Solanum lycopersicum: one gene and its partner. The protein of the gene in region 2 interacts with the protein of the main gene of each other region in a pairwise test. Links are inferred from orthologs where the notes say so. Each region holds a gene or a part of one and is shown on either strand. Other genes may lie near its edges. The genes, in order: SOS2 and SOS1.

Region 1 (11,985 bases), on a different chromosome or scaffold from region 2:
AAAAATATATATCGTTCAGGAGTTTGTCACTGGAGGAGAGCTTTTTGATAAAATTGTAAGATTCCTTAGAATTTTCAATAAGATTTTTCCTTCTTTAATCAATAACTCTTGCAGACTTCTTGTTCCTTGTATGTGATGATGGATAACTCTCCATCTGATAATGACTAGGAAGGTAATCTGTAAATGAAAATAGAGGCACGATTGAGACATTGTTGCAACTAAGATGTGTGCCCATGACGAATTTCTATGAAGTGATAATCTTCATTTATTAGGATGAGCTGTAGTTTGGGTCAAGATACTTATGGAGGATGGGGAAGTAGATAATGGAGTGAGCAGCAGATATCTTTGGTGCATCCTATACAATATTCACAAAGCAATAGTCTGGTGGAGTAATCTGTATAATGAGAAATAGAGGCATGACCGAGATATCTCTTTTTTATATTTGAAAAATAGAGGCATGCTGAGATATCCGTAGAAAAAGACATTCTGTATTTGGATAAAGTAATTCCAGTCCATGCTTTTTATGTGGAGAGCTTGGAGATCATTTTCTTTACTCTCAAAGCAGTTAAGAGTGTGTTGAGTTACCTTCTAGTAAGTCAAAAATTCCATCTGATCAAGAGGTTCCTCTGGATAGGTGTTACCAGTCTTATTTAAGCACAAGATAGTGATCGGAAATGCTTAATTTGTCAGTGACGATTTAGCTTTAAATCAGTTTTTCTCTGTCAGAGATGAACTCTATCGAGAAGGATTATTTTCGCTTATGAACTTTGTACATTTTTTTCAGTATTCCTGAATAGTTGGTATGAAATGCATGATCCAGCCTGGTTCTGATCAACTAAATCTCATCCTCATCAAACATATAAATTGTTGGGTTACTTAGGTATAAGCTGGTTCATTGATAGTAGTCCAGTTTCCAATTAGGCACTTGCGTCTTTACTAGTTTACTTCAGCTCATGGAGCTTTAACCCTTTATGGTTTATTTTGTCCTTCTCCCTATGAGTTATCAAGGTTTGATTTTCAAGATTTAGTAATGTATCTGTCTCTTCAATTCTATATTCGTTCAATTTATAGGTTCATCTAGGTAGGCTTTCTGAGGATGAAGCAAGGAGATACTTCCAAGAACTCATAGATGCAATTGCTCACTGTCACAGCAAGGGTGTTTACCACAGAGATTTGAAGGTTCGCAATTGCTGATTGGAAGAGATATTTTGTGAAAATTATATATCTTAATCTTTTAACTATTGCTCCTTGTTCCCCAGCCTGAAAATTTGCTTCTTGATTTCCAAGGGAACTTAAAAATTTCTGACTTTGGGCTTAGTGCATTGCCTCAACAAGTAAGCAACATCTGATGTTAGTTGCATTAGATTGTATATCTATTTTTGTTTCTTTCCTTGTTCATTAGAGCTTCTAAATGGGAATTTACTCAAATCTCTAACAGGGAGTCGAGCTCCTCTATACCACTTGTGGGACTCCAAATTATGTTGCACCTGAGGTATGATGCATATATATTTTGAATGTTCTTCTTGTTTTGTACATGCAACCCTTCATTCTTCATTTGATTGGCTTGCTATCCCAAAACCCTTTGTTGAGAATATAATTGAGTAATAAAAAATGTACTCTCTCTAACACCTTAAGCTTTTAGATGAGATGGTCACACACTTCAACATGGTATCAGTGCCAAGCAGAGGTCTTGAGATCGAATCTCACCACCACCCAAAATTAAGAAGAATTTCCACGTGTTTGGCCTGAATTTATTCATGACAGTTTCTTATCATTAATATGTAACTTGCACCAGCTATACTTATTGTTTGGTTCTGCCTAGATTTAAGTTATATCATTAATATGTCACTGAGTATTGTTTGATTCTGCCGTGCTAGCTCCGACTTTCAGGTTCATTGATTAGAAACTTAGGTCCTCTTATCTATTTTCCCATTCCTCATACATCCTCAATGATGTCCACAATAATAAGCACCGTGTGTATTTGTTTTATCTGCAAGGAGCTTGAATCAGAAAGAAGCGAAGCAGAGGGGTGGTTGTCTTTCATTTTAATTCATTGCTATCCCTTTTACCTAGCATGATCAATTGGCTTTTGATTAGTCATCAAATGAGAGAGAATCAGAATTTATTTCCCTTCCATGAGCTCTGTAGTAATATACCTTCAAATCATTGCAGTAACTGTCAGTTACCTTTCTTTGGGTAACATCATAACCTTGTGCTGAATTGTTTAATATAAGAGGTTTGCATCAAGTTGAATTTGTCTGAACTATGTCAATTGCTGAACATATGTTAATTTGCTTACTATGTTTTCTTATATTCGAATGTGTTTGGACTCTTTCTGTGGTAGCTGGCTTATTACTCTTAGTTACTTCTTCAGGTGTTAGGTAACCGAGGTTATGATGGTGCTGCTGCGGATGTGTGGTCATGTGGTATCATCCTTTATGTTCTGATGGCAGGATATCTTCCATTTGATGAGACAGACCTTCCTACCTTGTATACAAAGGTTAGATGCAGTCATCATGCATTTGTAATGTGTTAAATGGAAGCATAGATAATTCTGTCAAATGATTCTCTTTTTCTTCTTATATAGTGACAAATGCTAAGGATCATAGGTCATATGAGGGACAATATTTGTTCTTTTCTCATATGTATATTATTCATTTCTGATTAGGATTGAGGTGTAATGAGTTGATTGATATATTTATTCAGCTCTCTGACCTTTGTGTGAAGGATAAGCTCTCTTTCACTTGGCATCGACCACACTGCTCTCATAAAAAATATTGTTCCGTATTTTTAATTTCATCTTCATCTGCATGAGTTTCCTCCTTGTGTTTTTTATTATTACCATTATTTGTTTTTTGTTTGTTTTTTATTAGATTAATTGGGGCTTTAAAAGAACTTGACATTACTTGTACACGGCTTGCTATATGTTAAAGTTATTGTTTGCTCTATGTGTGGCTTACTATATGTTAAATGTTATGGTTTGTTCTGCACAAATTTCTTATTGCTTTTAATATTGACACAGATCAAGGCTGCTGAATTTTCCTGTCCATTTTGGTTTTCTCCTGGTGCAACATCGTTGATTCAAAAAATCATTGATCCAAATCCTCAAACTGTAAGTGCACTATATTTTCAACCCTGAAAACTATGGTGTCCGATTGCCTATTTGTCACTTAATTATTCAATCTACTATAAGCTTATAACATTAAAGTTGTACTGGAAAAACAAATCCCTCATGATGAAATATGAGAAGCCCCGTAACATGGATTAAATTCCTTCCAAATTTCCCGGATTGGTTATAGAAATCCTTTTTGAGGTCATTTTAAATGTGAGAAATGCCTTAAGCATGCCTTCTGCTCATTCTTTGCTTTTGTTCAGTATAAGTGTTCCTTTTCTCATTCCCTCTTTCTTGGTTAATTTGTGAAACTTCAGCATAACATGTACAAAAGTCCTTTTAGTGTTTTCATAGTGATTTACTCAGAACCATGTACATGCAGAGGATCAAGATTGATGGAATAAAACGAGACCCTTGGTTCCGGAAAAACTACAGAGCTGTTAAAGCTAAAGCAGATGAAGTAGTGAATCTTGATGATATCCATGCTGTGTTCGACGACATTGAGGTTGAATCTTTTCACATTCGTCTTCTAGTATGCTAACTAGTATGTCTGTGTGAGGAAGTGATCAAGTTTAAGATAAATTGTACTCTGGATTTAGATTAACTGAAGTGATTGGCCTGATACTTCGATGTTCTCACCCATTATAGGTTTGATATGTTCTATTTTTATGTGCAGGATGCATTTGTCAGTGAAAAATCAGAAGATAGTGAGAGTGGTCCCTTGGTAATGAATGCATTTGAGATGATAACACTATCTCAGGGATTAAATCTATCCGCTTTGTTTGACAGACGTCAGGTACAATGATTAATTTAGTTCATGGACCAAAAAATAAACCATACCCGACGTTTCCAGATTTTAATTCATCACAACGTCATCTGTTTTATCTCTTTCTCCCGCTTCTTCTTGTAAGCTTTTCGTTTCTTGGATAAGGAAGAGAATCTGATGGGATATGTAAATTGATTCTTCCTTGAATTTTTAGTTAGCATGCTCTTATATAGAAGCACGTTAATTTATCTCTCACTATTTTTGGCCTCTTTTTTTTCTCCTTTTTCCTTGTAGTCAAGTGGCTCAGAGCCAATGCTACATAATATCAACTTTTCTAAATCTAATTTTAGATCAAATACGTCGCGATTATTTTTTCGTTTAAAAAAAAAAGTGTCAGATATGATCTGAATAGCTTATATTTTTAATGATTGAGTTATTTATGTTTCTACAAATTTAAAAATGCTGACATGTGTAGTAGGTTGTCTCTTTGCTATTAAGGTTTTGACAACTTCCTTCTTATAACAAAGAGTAATTTCCTCTCTCATTCTTACAGGATTATGTCAAGCGTCAAACTCGATTTATTTCCCGCCAACCTGCTAAAGTCGTCATTGAAACTATTGAAGCAGCTGCAGAGTCGTTGGGTCTTAAGGTCCACACACGCGATTACAAGGTATATTTCTAACTCTCCATATTCAGGGACAAATGATTCTCTTTTATTCAAATTTGAATTCAATCAGAATGAAGCATTGTTGTAACTAAATAATCAGTTTCCCATTGGATCAACTGTAATTTTCAGCATTTTTTTTTACCCTTTTCCCACAATCTATTAAACAGCAATTTCCTTTCAACATCAAAGAAAATGGAATATACAGGAGGAATTCACCCCTTCAATTTTTCCTGCTCTTTATAAGGAGCAAAATCGTAACTGTGCCACATAAGCTTTAGTCGCATTTTGCTTAACACTGAATGAATGATGGTTGTAAATTTATCTGTTGCTTAAGATGCAAACATCTTGGAACTAGGGGCAGATCTATAATTTTATAACACAGAGCGAGGAGTACCACTCCTTTTTGTCACTGGATACAAACTAATGGTAATTCTATCGTGTTCTTAAACGAGAATACCCTGGGTAAGTTTCTCGTTATTGAGTGGGAATTGATTTATTGAACCACTCTTCTCATTGCAGACAAGAATTGAGGGGGTAACGGCAAATAGGGCTGGTCAATTTGCTGTTGTGCTGGAGGTAACTTTAAACTTAATAAACCGATTCATCTTAAGATCGGTGTTTCTTATTTTCATTTGACCACTCTTTCTATAATTTGTGAAGGTTTTCCAAGTAGCCCCTTCCCTTTTTATGGTTGATGTTAGAAAGGCTGCTGGGGACACTCTTGAATATCACAAGGTTGCTTCTACACTCAACTTTGACTGATTTTTTTTTTTTCACTATAGCTTGCATTACATACTTATATTTAGCTTCTGCACGAAAATGACGTTATGTGCATTTGCAGTTCTACAAAACCTTCTGCACGAAAATTGACGACGTCATTTGGAAACCGAAGGAAGGCATGTCAAATGCTGTTCTGCTTAGGACAAGGACTCGCTGAACCAGATTTCTGGGAATGAAGTGAATCACTTATCAATTTGATGTGCTCCGAAGACGTTCGTTGTGTTAGGTATAGTGTGTGTAACTGCATGTTGTTAATCTTTTGTTCACTACATATCTTAAGTGATAAATCATGGGCTCAAAAGCAATACAAGTAGGGTTGTAAATGAGACGGTTCGATCAGTTGTAACCAATTTTTCGGATATTATATAATGTATAACCAAAACTAGACTTTTCAAAACCATCCCAATAATATCGGTTTCTCTTTGGTATCGGTACAGTTAGTTTTCATTTTTAAAAAAAAAAATAAATTATCACCTCAAAGTATACTATTAGTAGAATATTTCTTTATTGCAAACGTGTTTGCAAAGAAGCACTTCAATTCTTCACCAAGAAGTCAAGAATGTAAAACCTTATTGCCATATTGTTTGATCTTAAACATTTAATACGAGTGCTTGCGTAGGTTTTAGTGTATTTTTTGATAGAATGCCTATTATAATATCTTTTAATTTTAAACTTAATTAACTAAAGGTTAATTAAAGAGCAAAGTCCCACAGTTCTAAACCTACATATTGTTTTTTTTTCTTTCAAAATTCTTCATGGACGTCCGTTAATACCTTAGCTACGGATCGAGTTGTCCAAGACGGTCAAAATGATCAATTTTCAAGGTCAAACAAGTCCCGGAGAAGGTTAATCCCCCATTTTCCTGATTTTTATGTGCTATTGTGCAAGAATTTTTAGTGATTCAAAATTCCGATATCATATTTGCCAAAAATATTCATGGACGTCTGATAAGACCTTAGTTATGGATCCAATTGGCCCAGACGACCAAAATGACCCATTTTTAAGTTTAATCGGGCTCCGGAGTAGGTAAATCCCCAATTTTATCGATTTTCGTGTGATATAGTCCATGAATTTATGGTGATCCGATTCCAATGTCATTTTTGCTGAAATTTTTCAGACCTTAGCTATGGATTCAGTTGACCCTGACGGCAAAAATGACCCATTTTCAAGGTCAAACGAGCTCCAGAGCAGGTAAACCTCCGATTTTGCCGATTTTTATGTCTTATAGTTCACCATCTTTTTTGGTGATAAAAAGTTCCGACGATATTTTTTTTGAAATTTTTCACGGAAGTCCGTTGATACCTTAGTTATGGACCCAGTTGGACCAGACAACCAAAACGCTTCATTTTCAAGGTCCAACGAGCCCCGGGCAGGGAAACCCTCATTTTTGCTGATTTTTGTGTGTTATAGTCAATGAGTTTTTGGTGATTCAAAATTCCGACATCTTTTTTGCCAAAATTTTTAGTGGACGTCCGTTAAGACGTTAGCTACGGAATCAGATTGCCCTGACGACCAAAATGACCAATTTACGAGCCCCGAATTAGGTAAGCCCCATTTTGTTGATTTATGTGTACTATAGTCCATAGATATTTAATAATCCAGAATTCTAACATCTTTTTTTGTCAAAAGTTTTCATAGACGTCTATTAAGATGTTACCTATGGAGCTAGTTGGCCTTTACGACTAATACAATCCATTTTGAAGGTGAAACGAGCCCCAGAGCATATAAATCCCCCTGTTTTGTCGATTTTTGTGTGCTATAGTTCACGATCTTTTTTGGTGATCTAGAGTTCCAATGATTTTTATCCTCAAATTTTTTGTGGAAGTCCTTTAAGACGTTAGATATGGAGCCAATTGGCCAACACGGCCAAACCGATCCATTTTGAAGGTCAAACGAGCCGCGGAGTAGGTAAACCCCTAATTTTATCGATTTTTAATCCGAAATTCCAACGTCTTTTTTGTCTAATTTTTTTTAGGACATACGTTAATACATCATTATAGAGCCAATTGACCCTGACAATCAAAACAACTCATTTTCAAAGTAAACTTTATTTTGTCGATTTTTGTGTACTATAGTCCATGGATTTTTCGGTGATCCAGAATTGCGATGTCTTTTTTGCCCAAACTTTTTTTGGACGTCCGTTAAGACGTCATATATGGAACGAGTTGGTCTGACGGCCAAAACGATCCATTTTGATGATCAAACGAGCCTCAGAGCTGGTAAATCCCTTATTTTGCCGATTTTTTAGTGCTATAGTCCACGATCTTTTTTGGTGATCCAGAATTTTGATGTCTTTGTTAGCTAATTTTTTTGTGGAGGTCCTTTAAGACGATAGCTATTGAGCCAATTGGACCTGACGGTCATAACAACCCATTTTGAAGGTCAAATAAGTCACGGAGCATGTAAATCCCCGTTTTGCCAATTTTTGTATGCTATAGTCTATGAATTTTTGGTAATCCAGAACTCTAACGTCTTTTTTGCCCTAGTTTTTCGTGGAAGTTCGTTAAACGTTAGATATGGAGTACGTTGGCCCTGATGGTCAAACAACTAATTTTTAAGGTCAAACGAGCCCTGAAGCAAGTAAATCTCATTTTGCCAATTTTCGTGTACTATTGTCAATGGATTTTGGGTGATTCAGAATTCGGTCGTAGTTTTTGCCCAAATAATTCATGGACGTCTGTTAAGATGTTATCTATGGATCCAGTTGGCCTTGACATCCAAAATGACTCATTTTGAAGGTCAAACGAGCCCCAGAGCAGGTAACCGATCATTTTACCGATTTTTGTGTGCTATAATCCACATTCCTTTTTGGTGACCTAGAATTTCGACGTCTCTTTTGCCCAAATTTATTGTAGACATTTGTTAGCACGTTAGTTATGGTACAAGTTTGTCTTAACAGTCAAAACAAATTATTTTAAAGGTCAAACGAGCTCAGAGCAGGTAAACCACCGATTTTTCCATTTTTGTGTGCTATAGTCCATCGATTTTTGGTGATCCAGAATTTCGAAGTCTTTTTTGTCAAATTTTTTCGTGGACGTCCATTAATATGTTAACTATGGATCATGTTAGCCTTCATGGACAAAACAACTTATTTTCAAGGTCAAACAAGCTTCGATGCAGGTAAACCCCATTTTACCGATTTTTCGTGTACTATAGTCTAAGGATTTTTGGTGATCAAGAACTTCGACGTCTTTTTTGCCAAACTTTTTTGTGGATGTCCATTAAGACGTTATCTATGGAGCAGTTGGTCATGAAGGCCAAAACGGGCTATTTTGAAGGTCAAACGGGTCCTGGAGAAGATAAAATCTCTTGTTTCGTCAATTTTTGTATGTTATTGCCCACAATTTTTTTGGTAATCCAGAATTTCAACGTCTTTAAGACGTCCGTTAAGACGTTATCTATGGAGCTAGTTGGCCCTAACAGTCAAAAGTACCCATTTTGAAAGTCAAACGAGTCTCGGAGCAGGTAAACTATCCATTTGGTCGATATTCATGTGCTAGTCCATGTATTTTTGATGATATATAATTTCGATGTCTTTTTTGCCCAAATTTTTTGTGGTCATTTGTTAAGATGTTACATATGGATCCATTAGCCCTAACGGTCAAAATGATCCATTTTAAAGGTCAAACGAGCCCCGAAGCAGTCCATGGATTTTCGGTGATTCAGAAATTTGATGTCTTATTTGTGGACGTCCGCTAAGACGTTATCTAGGGAGATAGTTGGCCCTAACGGTCAAAACGACCAATTTTAAAGGTCAAACGAGCCCCAGAGCATGTAAACCCCTCATTTTGCAGATTTTCATGTGTTATAGTCCACAATCTTTTTTGGTGATCCAGAATTCTGGCGTCTTTTTGTCAAAAGATTTTTTAAACGTCCTTTAAGACGTTAGCTATGGAGTCACTTGACCACAATGGCCAAAACGACCCATTTTTATGGTCTAACAAGCCTAGAGCTGGTAAATCCCCCATTCTGTAGATTTTCATGTGCTATATAGTTCATGGTATTTTTTGGTGATCCACAATTTTGATGTCTTTGTTACCCTTATTTTTTGTGGATGTCTGTTAAGACGTTAGCTATGGAGCTAGTTGGCCTTGACGGTCCAAATAACCCATTTTGAAGGTCAAACGAGTCTTGGAGAAGGTAAACCTCCTATTTTTCCAATTTTCGTGTACTATAGTCTATGAATTTTTTATGATCCAGAATTTCGACGTCTTTTTTGCTTAAATTTTCCCTGAAAGTCCGTTAAGACGTTTTCTAGTGGAGCAAATTGGCTCTGACGGCCAAAAAAACCCATTTTAAATGTCAAACGAGCACAAAAGCAGGTATACCCCTCATGTTACCAATTTTCGTGGGCTATAGTCCATGATCTTTTTTGGTGATCCAGAATTCTGATATCTTTTTTACCCAAAATTTTTGTGGATGCCCCTTAAGACGTTAACTATGGAAATAGTTGGCTCTGACGGTCAAACCGGCCCATTTTGAAGGTCAAATGAGCCCCAGAGCAGGTAAACCCCTTACTTTATCGATTTTCGTGTGCTATAGTCCATGAATTTTTGGTGATCCAGAATAGTGACGTCTTCTTTACCCAAATCTTTTATGTACGTCCGTTAAGACATTAGCTATGGAGCCAGATGTTCTGAAGGCTAAAACGACTCATTTTCAATGTCAAACGAGCCCCAAAGCAGGTAAACCTCATTTTGCCAATTTTCGTGTGATATAGTCCATGGATTATTGGTGACATGAGATTCCTACGTATTTTTTGTTCAAATTTTTATAGACATCCGTTAAGACGTTATTTATGAATCTGGTTGGCCGTGACGACCAAAACAACCTATTAAAAGGTCAAACGAGTCCCAAAGCAGGTAAACCCATTATTTTTATCGATTTTCGTATGCTATAGTCCACAATCTTCTTTGGTGATCCAGAATTCTATTATTTTTAATGCCCAAATTTTTGTGGATGTCCATTAAGATGTTAGGTGTGGATCCAGTTGTCCGTGACGGGCATAATGACTCATTTTGAATGTTAAATAAAGCCCTCGGAGAAGGTAAATCCCTAATTTTGCTGATTTTCGTGTGCTATGGTCCATAAATTTTTTGTGATTCAAAATTTCGACTTCTTTTTTCTAAATTTTTTCGTGGAAGTTTATTAAGATGTTAACTATGAATCCAGTTGGCTCTGACGGCCATAGTGGCACATTTTCAAGGTTAACGATCCCCGGATCAGGTAAACCCCCATTTTGCCAATTTGCGTGTAATGTAGTCCATGGATTTTAGGTGATGTCTTTTTTGCCTAAATTTTTTGTGAAAGTCCATTTAAACGTTAACTATGGATTCAAATTGCCCTGACAAGTAAAACAATCAATTTTCAAGATCAAACGAGCCCCGAAGCAGGTAAACACCATTTTGCCAATTTTTGTGTACTTTAGTCCATGAATTTTTAATGATCCGAAATTTCAACGTCTTTTTTGCCCAAACTTTTCATGGACGTCCATTAAAACATTATCTATTAAGCCAATTGGCTCTAACGAATAAAATGACCCATTTTGAAGGTCAAACGAGTCCTAGAGCAGATAAACCCTTCATTTTGCCTATTTTCGTGTGAGATCGTCCACGATCGTTTTTTGGTGATCAAATTTTTTGTGTACGTCCATTAAGACGTTAGCTATGGAGTCAGTTGACACTGACAGCTAAAACGACCCATAGTTAATGTCAAACGAGCCCCAAAGCAGGTAGATTCCATTTTGTCAATTTTTGTGTGCTAGTTTAAGGATTTTTGGTGATAAGAGATTTCGACATATTTTTTGACCAAATTTTTATGGACATCCATTTACCATTTGTCCCTAACGGCCAAAACAACCCATTAGAAGGTCAATCGAGCCCTAAAGCAGGTAAACCCCTCATTTTACCAACTTTTGTGTGCTATAGTCCATAATTTTTTTAGTGATCTAGAATTCTAACGTTTCTATCGTCCAAATTTTTTGTGGATGGCCATTCAGATGTTAGGTGTGGAGTTAGTTGTCCCTGACCGCCATAATGTCCCCTTTTGAAGGTCAAACGAGCCCCAACGAAGGTAAACCCCCAATTTTGTCAATTTTCTTGTGCTATGGTCCATGAATTTTTGGTGATCCAAAATCCCGACTTCTTTTTTACCCAATTTTTTTGGAAGCTTATCAAGATGTTAATCATGCATCCAGTTTATCCTGAAGGCCATAATGGCATATTTTCAGGGTCAACGAGCCCCAGTGCAGGTAAAACCCTATTTTGCAGATTTACGTGTGTCCATAAATTTTAGGTGATCCAGAATTCTGACGTCAAAATTTTGCCAAATTTTTCGTGGACGTCCATTAGAACATTAGCTATGGAGTCATTTGGGTTTGACGACTAAAACGATCAATTTTTAAGGTCAAACAAGCCCTGAAGCAGGTAAACACCATTTTGCCAATTTTCGTGTAATATAATCCATGAATTTTTGGTGATATGAAATTCTAACTTATTTTTTGCCCAAATTTTTGTGGACATCCGTTAAGACGTTATCTATCTATTTTACCGATTTTCGTGTACTATAGTCCATGAATTTTTTGTGACCCGGAATTCTGATGTCTCTTTTAACTTAAAGTTTTCATAAACGTTCATTAAGACGTTATCTGTAGAGCTGGTT
Region 2 (13,231 bases):
TTGTATTTTTGACGCTCATCATCAACGGTTCAACCACACAGTTTGCTTTACATTATCTGGGAATGGATAAGCTATCAGCAGCAAAGGTAGAGTTGATTTCGACGTGGTACTATTTTGTCCTTGTTGGAGCTTTAGAGGTGGAAAAATGGTTTTTTTTCCCCAATGGTTTTCGATTTCTTTAAGGGATGTTAATGGAGTAAATGGGTGGTCTAGGAAGACGTTTTTATATCCAACCCATTTTTCAACTACGTAAAATGGGTGACAAATGGAATAAATAACTATTCATCTAACCCCATTTATGCTAGCTCATCTATCATCAGTTAACCATGTTTGCTGCCTGAACTGTTTCTTTATGTGGTTTGCCGTTGATGGCAATCAAATTTGTCAGCTCCTCGGAAATTGGAATATGCCCTGCATAGCAGAATTTGTATCTTTTATGGACCGACTGCTTTTCTCTAACTGACCTAAAAAAACACTACATGATATTGAATTTAAGCAAAAATATGAAAAGAAATCACTTTACCTCCTTATCATAAAAAGAAAAGGATATTACCTTCACATTTCAGAACTGTTCAAAGACCAAATCCTATGATGGCAGGATGAGATGGAAGACCTCTGCCTCTGACATGATAAGGAAATCTATATGCTTGGAAAACAGGGAGGGGGGGCATAATGAATTAAAAGAGAGATGGTATCACTTGGATAACTAAAGTAAGTAGTTCAATTAGTCAATTACTTTTTTAAATGAAACACTAACCTTTCGTGTTGAACAGTAGATGCTTAGATAAGCAAGTAAAGTCCTGTTATTTGTAGCTTTATATTTTAAATCTTCTTCAATAGATTCTATAAATAACATAGTTCATCTCATTGCAGAAGCGCATATTGAACTACACAAAATATGAGATGTTGAATAAAGCTCTGGAAGCATTTGGTGATCTTGGAGATGATGAGGAACTAGGACCTGCTGACTGGCCAACTGTTAAAAGATATATTACTAGCCTAAATGATGTGGAGGGTGAACCAGTGCATCCTCATACCTCATCTGGAAATGATGATAATGTGGACCATATGCATTTAGAAGATATTCGGATCCGCCTGCTAAATGGTGAGAACATTACATTCTCAATTTATAGTTCATCTTGTTTGTGATCTGTTCTGTAACTTCTAGGTCATTTTCCTCAATAATTGCTGTTTCACTTATGCAATCGATCATATGACCACTAACACACCAAATTACCTTCCATCAGTACAGTGTATATGGAGTAGAGCGTCACTCATAGGTGACTCTATGCAGTGTTCATCTGTACAGTAGAAAACCTTATATTTTGTCTATCCTAGTGAAAATTCTTGCTCTTCCATTGATCATGATATTCAAATTTGATTGTTAAAAGTGAAATTATGTTTCCAGGTGTTCAAGCAGCATACTGGGAAATGCTCAATGAGGGCAGGATCCCACAAACTATAGCGAATCTTCTAATGCAATCTGTGGAGGAAGCAAATGACGTAGTATCGCATGAGCCCTTATGTGATTGGAAGGGTTTAAAATCTTATGTTAATATCCCAAATTATTACAAGTTTCTTCAAACAAGTTTTGTCCACCGGAAGCTTGTTACATATTTCACTGTTGAGAGGTTAGAGTCTGCATGCTATATCTGTGCTGGATTTCTCCGGGCGCATAGAACTGCCCGACAGCAACTAAATGAATTTATCGGTAAGTAACTAGTAATGATTTCTATATAGCATCTTTTTGGCACATCCTTTCCAGCGTGTTATGATTCTTTTCGATTATGTTTGACTTCCCCTGCTCATCTTTGGTTGGACCATTTCTTTCTGCCTACAAATTATCAGTGGCGAAGGTTGAATGCTGAGACATTTTAGCTGAACATAACAAAGCCTTTTCCATTGGCCAAAAAGTCTTTTTGCATTTAAAGATTAGATAGTCAGCTTGAATAGTTTAACGACGTCAATTCTTATGGTGGTTTTCCTAACCTTTTTTTGTTGATGAAGACTACTGATTAGGTCTTTGATATGAAATTTCTCAATTGTTCAGTTTGCTCGATAAACAATAATCTGAGGATTGACTTCTTTAGATTGTGACTTCCTACAATTGTGTTGAAGTTGAACTATTGCATTCAAGTGACGCATTCTTCTATATTTTAAGGTGCGTGATGGTCTATAAGGCATAAGGTGAAGATAGTACTAAGAAATGTTGAAAACTATAGATATCTGGCGTGATAGGAGTGAAAAAGCTTCCATCAGGTGGTATCCTTGTGTTTATCTTTATGCTGTTGGTAGTAATGACTGATAAAGGTTGCACATTGGGCTAAAAAGCTACTATTATTACATTTTTTTCTCTTATGTGTTCTCTTCCCAAGAGAAGGGAGAAAAGGAAAATATTTTACCAAGAACCTTTTCTTATGCTACCTAATGAATGCCTCAACTTTAGCACCACTTTTGTGGCTTTTTTGTTTTTATTCTCTTTATGAGGAAGCTTTCTCAGCAGTGAAATCCTTACAGGAGAGAAAAAATAAAGAAAAAGAATGATATGTATTGGAGTTGGAAGTTTCTTATGCAGGCAATGATGATTTCAGGTGAGAGTGAAATTGCTTCCCTTGTTATCAAGGAAAGCGAGGAAGAAGGAGAGGATGCACGGAAGTTTCTGGAAGAAGTCCGTGTCTCATTTCCTCAGGTATACAAAGACAAATCTCTCTCAATGAGCTCAATATTTCCTGCTAGACTGAAACATGTTGAATAAAAATACTAGAGGGTGCAGCCTGGTAGTACAAGAAATTTATGCTACCTGCATTTTTTTGCCAGCTTTCTGCATGCTTGAATCATGGTCATTATATTTTGAAATCAAGAATACAGCTGTCTGGTTTCTGCAACGTATAAATGAACTTTATGTGTTGACAATATCCAGTCTGCTTTTTGAGTAATTTTATTTGGTTATAAAAGAAAGTACATACTCAGGTTCTCCGAGTTGTGAAAACCAGACAAGTTACTTATGCGGTGTTGAATCACTTGATTGATTATGTCCATAATCTTGAGAAGATTGGTATATTGGAGGAAAAAGAGATGGCACATCTTCACGATGCTGTCCAGGTGAGCATTTGATTCTTATCTGCTAGTCCAATTTCATTGCTTTTGTCTTACATCTGATTTCATACATGATGTATTTTGTGCAGACTGATTTGAAAAGGCTTGTAAGAAATCCACCTCTGGTTAAATTTCCGAAAATTCGTGATTTGATTAGTGTCAATCCTTTGTTGGGAGCTCTACCCCCTACGGTGCGTGAGACACTAATTGGTTCAACCAAGGAGATAATGAAGTTACGTGGTGCAACCCTCTATGAAGAGGGATCAAAGGCAACTAGAGTTTGGCTTATTTCAAATGGTGTAGTGAAGGTAATTAGTAATGTAATGGTTATTACAATAATAACTTTTTAGCCAAAAACATCTTTCTGACAATATGATATCGTGTTTGATAGTGGTCAAGTAAGAGCACAAGTAATATTCATCTACTGCATCCAACTTTTTCACATGGGAGTACTCTAGGTTTATATGAAGTGCTGGTGGGAAAGCCTTACATCTGTGACATTATAACGGATTCCGTGGCTCTCTGCTTTTCTGTTGATAATGAGAGGATACTTACTGCTCTCAGATCTGATCCAGCTGTAGAAGATTTCTTTTGGCAGGTATTTTGAATGATTATCATTTTCAACTTTTCTTTTGGCTTCCATACATACATATGTCTATGCTTAACACAGCTTTCTCGTCATTATCAGTATAGTGAGAAATAGCAGAGTTCTTCAACTACTGAAAGAGTATTCTGAGTTAAGACACAAGAGGAGATTTTGGGTCCCTAACATTGACTTTCTTACCATACTGCAAGTTTTTTTTAAAAAAAAGAAAACTTTCTCACCATATTTTGCATGGTTCCTCCGCTATCTTTTAACACAAAAGAAAAGTAAGAACTCAAGTACATCTCAGCAAGGAAGGACTTAATTATACTAAGGTCTAGAATTGCTCCGATTGAGTGAAAGTGTTTCAGAAAAGTTGCCTTTTTTGCTTTACCTATCAGAAGAAAAATATATCACCTTGAATGGTCTTCAACGATACTCCAAGGCTTTGTTGTTTCTGCTGTTTGCATTTCTGTCTCTACAAAATTAAACTGCTTCCCAATATAGAAAGATCCCATCTGAGGGAAGAGTGCCACATTAAATGGAATAGAGGTAGTAACTAGAATATAAGGTTTTTTTGAAGCAGTGACTCACACAAAATATCTTGTTATCTGCAGGAAAGTGCACTTGTGCTTGCCAAAGTCTTGCTTCCTCAAATGTTTGAAACGACAAAAATGCAAGATATGAGAACTCTGGTTGCAGAAAGGTCAACTATGAGCATATACATAAGAGGGGAAAGTTTTGAATTGCCTCACCATTCCATTGGTTTTCTGTTGGAGGGATTTGTTAAATCTCATGGTTCACATGAAGGGCTTCTTTCAGCTCCTGCACCGTTACTGCCTTTGGCATTGGAACAACAAAGCTTCCACAACACAGAAGCATCAGGTTGCTTCTCACCCCTTTAGCTGCAGTATTTCAGTATCCCACTCTTTGTAATTAGGGGACAGCTGAAATATTGGTTATACTAAGTGTTATTAGAAGCGAGAAGCGCAAAAAAGCTCTAAATTCTATCGGCGCTTAAAGTGCAAATAAAGCGCCAGCTTTCATGAAAAAGGGTGCAAAAAGAGAAAGAATACAAATATATTTATTTTAGACCAAGACTAATAATTGTAAGTACAAACAACAAATATATGGACAGGAAACTGAAAAAAGATAACGGTGAAGTGATATATCAATTGTGCAGTGTTGCTTGCCTCTTCAGGAAATGCTCGTTGCCTCTTCAGGAAAGACCTTGATGACGATACTAACACCGCACATTAAGCGAGGAAAAACACTCTTAACATGTTTGAGCCTCGCTTCAGGACTTAAGTGCGCCTTTGACAACACCTGTTTATACTACCTCCCATATGGTCTTTGATTATAAACTTACACGACTGTTAAAAACAAAAAAATTTGTGGTATGCTGACAATTTTATTCTCTCTTAAGGTTGGCATATATTCAATTAATATTTTTTGCTTCAGAAATTGATAGTACTTGCAACTTCGATTATTTGCATAAATCCTCTCTGATCTATAGCCTCATCTCAGATAATTCTGATTAATTTGTATTTATTTATTTTTTTGGTTCAATATTAGGTGTCCATGCTGCTAGTTTTTCTCATCAACCTTCTCAGTATCAAGTTGAGACAAGGGCAAGGGTGATTATGTTTGATATTGCGGGATTTCTATCAGGCAGGGGTCTCCAGAGAAGATCATCTTCGCTATTATCTCACTCAATTGATCATCCCTCAAGGTCTTTTAGTAGAGAGCTTGGTGGTTTAATGAGCTGGCCAGAAAATACTTATAAGGCTATGCAACATAGACAGGATGTGGAACGAACTGGTCAACAGGAAACCAATATGTCTACCCGCGCAATGCAGCTAAACATCTTCGGAAGCATGGTTAGTAGGAAAATTTATTTCACAATTTCTTTGGCCCATAACAAAGTTTACTTAAATGTTAGGCTTTGGGGAATAGAGCAACTGCTCAAAACAGTGTGTCGATTAGGCCGGAATTCTATTTACTGTTTGACGGAGCATGCCATGTCCTTGTACCTTTTTGGTTTTGGAGCTAACGAGTTTGTGTTTGATAGACAACATTTTTGATAACATAAATATAAAATGTTCATCTATAGTGGAAGTGTTAAAATGAAAACTCGTGCCAAGTTTAAGGGTCTGTTTATGTGTTTAGTCATTATGATTTCTCCTACTCACTCACATCTATCCCATTCCTCCACCCACCCCTTCACTCACATCTATCCCGTTCTTGTCTTATTCATCATCGAGTTGAAATCACCAGTTTTCGATATTGGCTTACTTGCTCTTTTTTGGTTATTAGATAAGCGACACAAGAAGTCGTTCGAGAAGTTTTCCTGGAATTAGTGCAGCCAAAACCTCTCACAGTCAGTCATATCCAGAGGTTCGATCAGATGGTGTACAAACACTTGTTTCTGTTAGATCTGAAGGATCTACCACATTGCGAAAGAAGGCTCAAGTGCAAGGAGAGAATAAAGATATGAGTATACAACTTCCAAGCGCACCAATTGAAGAAAGTGACACAAGAGAGTACTCGAGTGATGATTCTGGTGGCGAGGATGAGCACCTCATCAGAATTGATTCGGGAAGACCAAGCTTTCCTCAATGGATCGCAGAGGAAGATAAAACATCATAGGCAGACTGAGCCTTTCCACACTGTGATTATGTGAATACTACTATGAACATTGATTTATGTATCGTTTTATGTTTGAATAAAGTAGCATATATTGTTCTAAAACAAGTTCATTTGAATAATGTATTGCGAAAAAGAAGCGCTGCTTTGTATTGAGGAAGTTATGAACTCACTTATATATGATGGTCTCAAATTTTTATTTCCAGAGAAGCTCTTCTACATAGATGTCCAAAATGTATAATGTACAATCTTTCTCTGAAGAAAAAGCCAACATTCTATTGATCCTGTTTAATAAGATTGATAGCTTTTTATTGTGACTAAAAGCTGTAATCTCCTAATTTCTGAACAGCTACTCTCAAGTATATAATTGTCTTGTTTTGTTGAATTATAGTGTTATATACGGTAGTAAAGATGTCAGGTGGAAAAAGAGCAGTAGTAAACAACAAAAAATATGATCACTCAAACAATGAAAACAACATGTCATACTAAGAAGTAGGAGAGTAATAATAATATAATATTGATAAAGGGAACTATTAGACAACACTTGGACTACCTATTATTTTTTTGTTGTTGTTTCTCGCTCGGTATTCATTATCCATATTGGAGTCTGATTAAATCTGAATTCGCATCAAAAAGTCCCATATTGGGGGGTGAAGCCCTTCCTAATAAAGGTGACTCCGTACACAAGCCCGACACCTTTTGGTTAAGGATGAAGAAGTACTTACAACTCCATTAAACTCTTATTGAAACACAACTATCTAATTATCAATTAATATTTTACTTTAATCCTCAATCTTTATATTTTCTATTTAGGGTTTCATCCCCATTCCTTGATAAGTTATAAATATGACATACTCTGTCTAATCATCTCTCCCCAAAATTTCTTCGACCTACCTCTATCTCTCCTAATACAAGCACCCTAAGATCCAAGTATAATGCTTGAGGAGTTGAGGGTGAACAAGATAGAAATATATTGGGCTCAACACTAACGAATCGATGTATACATTAATTTGTTAGAAGTAGTGTTGTTGTATCATCCTTTAGTATAATGCTTGAGGAGTTGAGGGTGAACAAGATAGAGAAAAGTGAGGATTAAATAGTTCAGATATGTAAAAAAAGGAGGTGCATAAATCTGTCAATTAAAAGGTGTGAGAGGTTGGTCGTAGCAATAGTTAGAAGAGGTAGAGATGGACCTACAAAAATTTTAGTGAAGATGATTTAATAGGAGACACACCACTAACTGAGTACTCGTCCTTAGATAGAGAGGTACAACGACAATCAAAAGTTAATATAAATGGTTAGTAGGTAACGAGTATGGTCATTTATTAGGTGGGTGAGATAAGAATGGGGTCCTTTTCTTTTTAGTAATAGTTGTATATAGTATCACATAGTTTCTTATTCATATATATATTTCTATTATCTATTGCTTCATTTTACTTTGAATTTTGATCATATTTTATTGTCATTTTTTCTTCTGACAATCCTTCTATATATATGAATAATTTTTTTAAAAAACCGATGAACTACTGAAAACAACCTATATACTCCACGATGATAGATATAAGCTAGGGTTTGCATATGTCTCATCATCTCTAAATCACACTTGAATTTACACCAGATACATATTTGAATATGTTGTTATATCCCATCCAAGTCCATTTCATGGGATTTTATATCATAAAATGATGTGAAAACTGCATTCTTTTGACGTCATCAATATTTTTTTAATAGAAAAATTAAAAATTAATTGAAATCCTAAGGACACAAATCACAATATAAAGTGTATATTTTTATTGTATATTATATATCTGAATGAGAATCTAATTCTCTATTCATTTGGGATTTGAGAAAAAGCAAAAGGTAGAGGGATAATATTCTCACATATATCTAGGTTTATTTATTATCTCTTCCTCCTCCTTTTTTCCTCTTTGCTTTAATAATAATCTTTCTTTTTCTTTTACTCTTTTGGCTACTTGTCTTTTCCTTTATTTTCTCTCTAAATAAATTCATGTAATAAAAGTAACTGTAATACTTGAATTTCAAAGTATTTTCCTACTTCCATTGTATTTGTGTGTATATCGAAATATTTCACTTTGTATCTCTTTTGCTTTCTCCGTTTCATATTAATTATGATATTTCTGGAACTAGGCACAATCTTAATTTTATCATAAAAAATGTGTAGAATTATTATAAACAAGTAAAAACGAAGGAAAATATTTTAAGTGTATTATTTTGTAAAATAAATAAGTGGATTAATTATACTTTTTACACTTGTATAAATTCTTAAGAAGAAAAATAATATTCTATAGAATTACATAATATTTGGAGATCTGACCTCCTGACTTATAATTTCTTTATTGAAGTGAGGAACTATACTTTTTATGGAAAGTCAAATCAAAAACTCTGTTTAAGGCTGAGCAATAATCTCAAAAAGTCATTAACTCATTTCAGAAATAAATCTAAAAGGTATAATAATAATAATAATAATAATAATAATATTTTTACAAATGAGAATGAAAGAAGATAGTCTTGAGAAGTAAAAAGTTTTTTTGTTTAGATCCTTAGGAGAAGAGACAGTTAATGCACTGTATTAAATATTATATTTATATTCAGAATAACGAACAAAAATATAGCTATTATGGAAAGTTTCTCATAATATTATGTCCTTAATGAAATAATTAACAGATGATAATATTATTTGTTGAAAAAATCATCTACTAGCTATCAGATTTTCCACTTAAGCATATCTAACTTATAAAATTATTCATACCTACTATAATTAAATAATTATTAAAAAAAGTTGTGCCCAAAAATGTCAAATAACCAGGTCTAATCTAATGTATAATTGTTCCAGAAAAGACAAAAAAAATAGATATTTTTGTTTAGTTTGTCATACAGCTATAAAATATGCCTGCCATAATTATTAAGTTTAAATTAAAATATACGCCTACTATAGACAAACTTTTAATTTAAATAAACTTTACCATATAATAAAAAGAAACTAATTAATTATTTTTGATTCACCAGATATTCTCGCTTTTGAAAAGAGTCAGTAAAAAGTAAAAATATAAATTAACTTAAACTAATTTAAAATTTAAATAGAATTTTTATAATCGAAATACCGTAACATTTCACTAACGAAACAAGTTTCTTTCGAAATCAATTTTTTATATTATATTTTTTTTTATAATAACATTCTACCTCTAATAATAATCACATTTATTGTAACAATACACCCTTTGTAAATAGTCAATCTCAAATATTTTCCATATCTTATCCCTTTCTTTCTCCCATAGTTTTCAAACAAGGTCATACATAGTCTAGAATTCCACCTCACCAACCTATTAGTAATTAATAGATTAATTTCAAATTAAAACATAAAATCATGCACATTACACTAATGATTAATTAATTAGGGTCCTACATATAATTAAACTTTAAACATAGGGTGATGATTTTCCTTTTTTTTAACCAAATCTTGTTTTTATACCAATTGTTACATATAATGATTTGTCCTTCACAAAGTGTTATGGGAAATGGTCCTTTTTTTATGAAACTTATTATATGGTAACATGTGCCTCCTATGATAGCTACTCATTTTAATTTGTCCTATATTTAAAATTTATGGACTATAGACTATGGACCTTCCACCAACAATATTATATTTTCTTAGTTTTAGTGAAATAAAAGTAACATAAGTGCAAACATGTATCAAAAAGAAAGTTTGACAATGTCACTTACTAGTTATATTAACTTTACTTTTATCTCATCAAGACATCATTAGTATGTTTGTTATAAGTGATTTTATGCCTCTCAACTAATTTAACTATTATTTTTTCATTAACCATGATTTAGATAAATATAAAAAAAATCACCTTTGATTTGATCACTAGATTAAAAATATAACTTTAAAAGTCTGGAAAATAATTATCACTAAAAATTATTTGCTTTAAAAAAAAGATTATTTTAATTTCTTAAAAATAATCGGTGATAATTATTTGATTTTTTTAATTGAAGAATATCTTTTCCTGCTCAAATCTTAAATGTTAAGAGGGGTAAGGCGAAATTGAATTATATTATAATTATGGAGTTATTAAATATAAAAAATGTAATTTTTTTTTTATCAACCTTTACCTTTTTTTTTCTCTTTATTTTTTTTCTTTAATAAATGAACTTCTTTCCTTTTTTTCTTTTTCTTTTTTCCCCTTTACTAATTTCAACTTATTATACTAAGCCTTTAGGATGCAATATAGTCAAAGAGATAGTTCACTTTAGCCACATGCGTTGCTTTCCTCCTAAGTATTTTTTTCCTTATAACCTAACACTTATTAATTCTTTTTCAAAAAATAGACCTAACACTAATTATTTGATCATATTGATTTGTTAATTGTCAACATGATCATAGTGCGTACCTTTTCTCATCTCTCTTACTATGGATCTTCACAAATTTAATGAGATATAAGCAAATCAATTGTCAGATTGATATTACTACTACTACATATTTTAGGATATTGTAATTCTAAATATAGTCTGAGATATCACAGAATTTTTATATTGTGGTATCAGAACGTACTTGAGGGAGTAAAAGTGAAATTATCCCAAACTTTAACGTAGGAGAATTAATTTTTTTTTTATAGTTACACAAATATTATAACACATTTAAATCCATAAATTTTAAAAAAATTATAGACATATAAAGGATACTCCTATATCACACTTTAGAACATAATTTAAAACTAGAGTAACATTTTTGGATTATTATTAGGACCTTTGTTCAGTCCATTATTCTGCTTAACTACGTACGTACAAACAAGATCCCTTTATAACTCAAAATAGTACTTTAAGAATCTTCAAATTGTCAGAAATATAATTTTAAAAGCAAAACATTTTTCATCCTAATTTTCAGTAATAAACATAGAATCTATACATCCACTTGCATCCATATATATATTCATATCATATATCATACACTCTTTAATTCTCATTGAATAACTACAAAGAATATCAACAAGGGCGAAACGAGCTGCCAGGTCTTTCCATTTTGAAACGTTACAATCATTTTTCTCAACCTATTTCATCAATCAAATGAGCAAAAGATAGAATATAAAGATACATATTCTCTTTTAGTTTTACCTTCCTATCTGATCCTACATACCTCGAAATAGACCCTAGCTAGCTACCTAGGTGGTACGTCCTCTCCAATCACCCTCGAGTCCTTATAATTGTGATTGTCCCCCTCCCTTGAGTATGAATTTTGGTGAGTGCAACCACCGTCTTGCCGGATAATCCTGGTCCAGCAGGGCATACGGTCGAACGACATGCAAAGTCCCCAACCGGATGCCTTACGGGCCGGGTCGGCCTCATTAGAATCCTCTCGTTAATGTCATTTAATGTCACGTCTCCTTCTTGCCCTCCGGGCTTCACTAGCCCAAATGGATACACAATTTTTCCACACATTCTTCTCTTTTTATCACCTCCTCCTTCAAACACAATAGAATCACTAATTATAGATAGTTTGATAGGTAAAACATTTTATATTTGTGAAATTTTTAAAAAAAAATCATATTTTAAATTCTTATTTTAATATAAATATTAATGACTGCTTTCAACTATTATTACCTAAAATAATTATAATTTACAATTGATAAATTATTTGCTTTACAGTTGCGAAATATTTACTATTCAAATTAAAAGAGCAAGTCAACAACATTAGTGGTTACTTTTTGACTTTTGAGTATCCCGTATATATTTGTACCATTTAAACATTTTAGCAAAAAAACATATTTAAAGAGATTTAATTAGTTAGTAACTGAAAATTCTTATATAAAGTCGCACTTTAATTAATAAGTATAGACTTTTTTTTTTTGAAAATGGCAAATAAGGTATGCTGTCATGAGAAAGAACAACCACCCCCACACATATGTAAAAAAATGGTTTTTTTCTAGCATATGCATATATATTTTGAGTCAAAAATAATAACTTCAATTAAAAATCAACTACCCGCAAAATCAATCTCATAATTCAAGGATGGAATTAAAATTTAACTATGAATTAAATAAAATTTATTAACTTTGATTAAGATTCTGCATTCACGTTAAAACATAATCCATATATAAAAATTTAAATATACTTTATTTAAAATTCTAACAAAATGACCTTTTTCAAATTCAAAATTTATAAATTTTAAAATTTGAATCCGTCTCTAATATAACTAATTATAAAAGAAAGAAAGAAAAAAATGAGAGAGTTACCATATTGTAGAGGTTGTTTATTATGATGAGATGATGATGTTGGTGAAGAATTAGAAGAATAATAATAATTTTCTGAGATTGCTTCCTCCTCTGTTCTTTTGGAATATTCTTCACTCATTTTGCTCATTGGATCCCCTATAATTAAATTAATCATTATTATGATCATAATACAGATTAATTAGAACAAACATAATAGGAGTACCTCTTTTAAATTTAAATTTAATATGCAAATCATAACGGCTATTACTAATCATTACTCCATACCAAACGTTTTTTTAAAAAAAATAATACTAAGTAATGATAATAACAATTGCATTGTGTTGGATATATTTTAGTTGTTACAACACGATGATCTTATAAAGTCATATAATATAATATGAAAAAATCATTTCAAATGAGTTTGACCATTTCAAAAAGTTGTCTATAATGATCATGATTACTATTATAAAGAGGTCTAAGAACAAAAGGCAAAGGTTGTTTGATAACAATTAATTAATATTATAAAGAGATTTGACGATTCAATTTAATTTAAAAAAATCATAGGAAACAAAGCTAAATATGTACATTTATATTACTGGAAATTAATTCCATCTCTAAATTATTTAAGCAAAATATACTGAGATAAATTAAAAGGGAATTAAGAATTAGAATTACC

What was found.
Region 1: the proteins of SOS1 (region 2) and SOS2 interact in binary tests that used the Arabidopsis thaliana proteins (3 or more experiments, as listed by UniProt). The link is inferred for Solanum lycopersicum from reciprocal best matches to the Arabidopsis thaliana genes SOS1 and SOS2.

Annotation. Positions count from the first base shown.
Region 1 is NC_090811.1:3,241,613-3,253,597, reverse strand, and holds the end of SOS2 (calcineurin B-like interacting protein kinase), read left to right. Parts: coding exon 1-55; intron 56-1,071; coding exon 1,072-1,179; intron 1,180-1,259; coding exon 1,260-1,334; intron 1,335-1,438; coding exon 1,439-1,492; intron 1,493-2,374; coding exon 2,375-2,500; intron 2,501-3,022; coding exon 3,023-3,112; intron 3,113-3,494; coding exon 3,495-3,617; intron 3,618-3,788; coding exon 3,789-3,908; intron 3,909-4,431; coding exon 4,432-4,548; intron 4,549-5,064; coding exon 5,065-5,121; intron 5,122-5,205; coding exon 5,206-5,280; intron 5,281-5,386; coding exon 5,387-5,482; 3' UTR 5,483-5,722; downstream 5,723-11,985. UniProt on the Arabidopsis thaliana protein: Involved in the regulatory pathway for the control of intracellular Na(+) and K(+) homeostasis and salt tolerance.
Region 2 is NC_090800.1:382,713-395,943, reverse strand, and holds the end of SOS1 (plasmalemma Na+/H+ antiporter), read left to right. Parts: coding exon 1-86; intron 87-873; coding exon 874-1,105; intron 1,106-1,408; coding exon 1,409-1,711; intron 1,712-2,591; coding exon 2,592-2,689; intron 2,690-2,970; coding exon 2,971-3,102; intron 3,103-3,185; coding exon 3,186-3,404; intron 3,405-3,487; coding exon 3,488-3,694; intron 3,695-4,296; coding exon 4,297-4,564; intron 4,565-5,254; coding exon 5,255-5,559; intron 5,560-5,995; coding exon 5,996-6,328; 3' UTR 6,329-6,529; downstream 6,530-13,231. Other genes in the region: protein XRI1-like, read right to left, coding at 11,528-11,805, 12,577-12,711, 13,231-13,231. UniProt on the Arabidopsis thaliana protein: Acts in electroneutral exchange of protons for cations such as Na(+) or Li(+) across plasma membrane. Involved in Na(+) and K(+) homeostasis.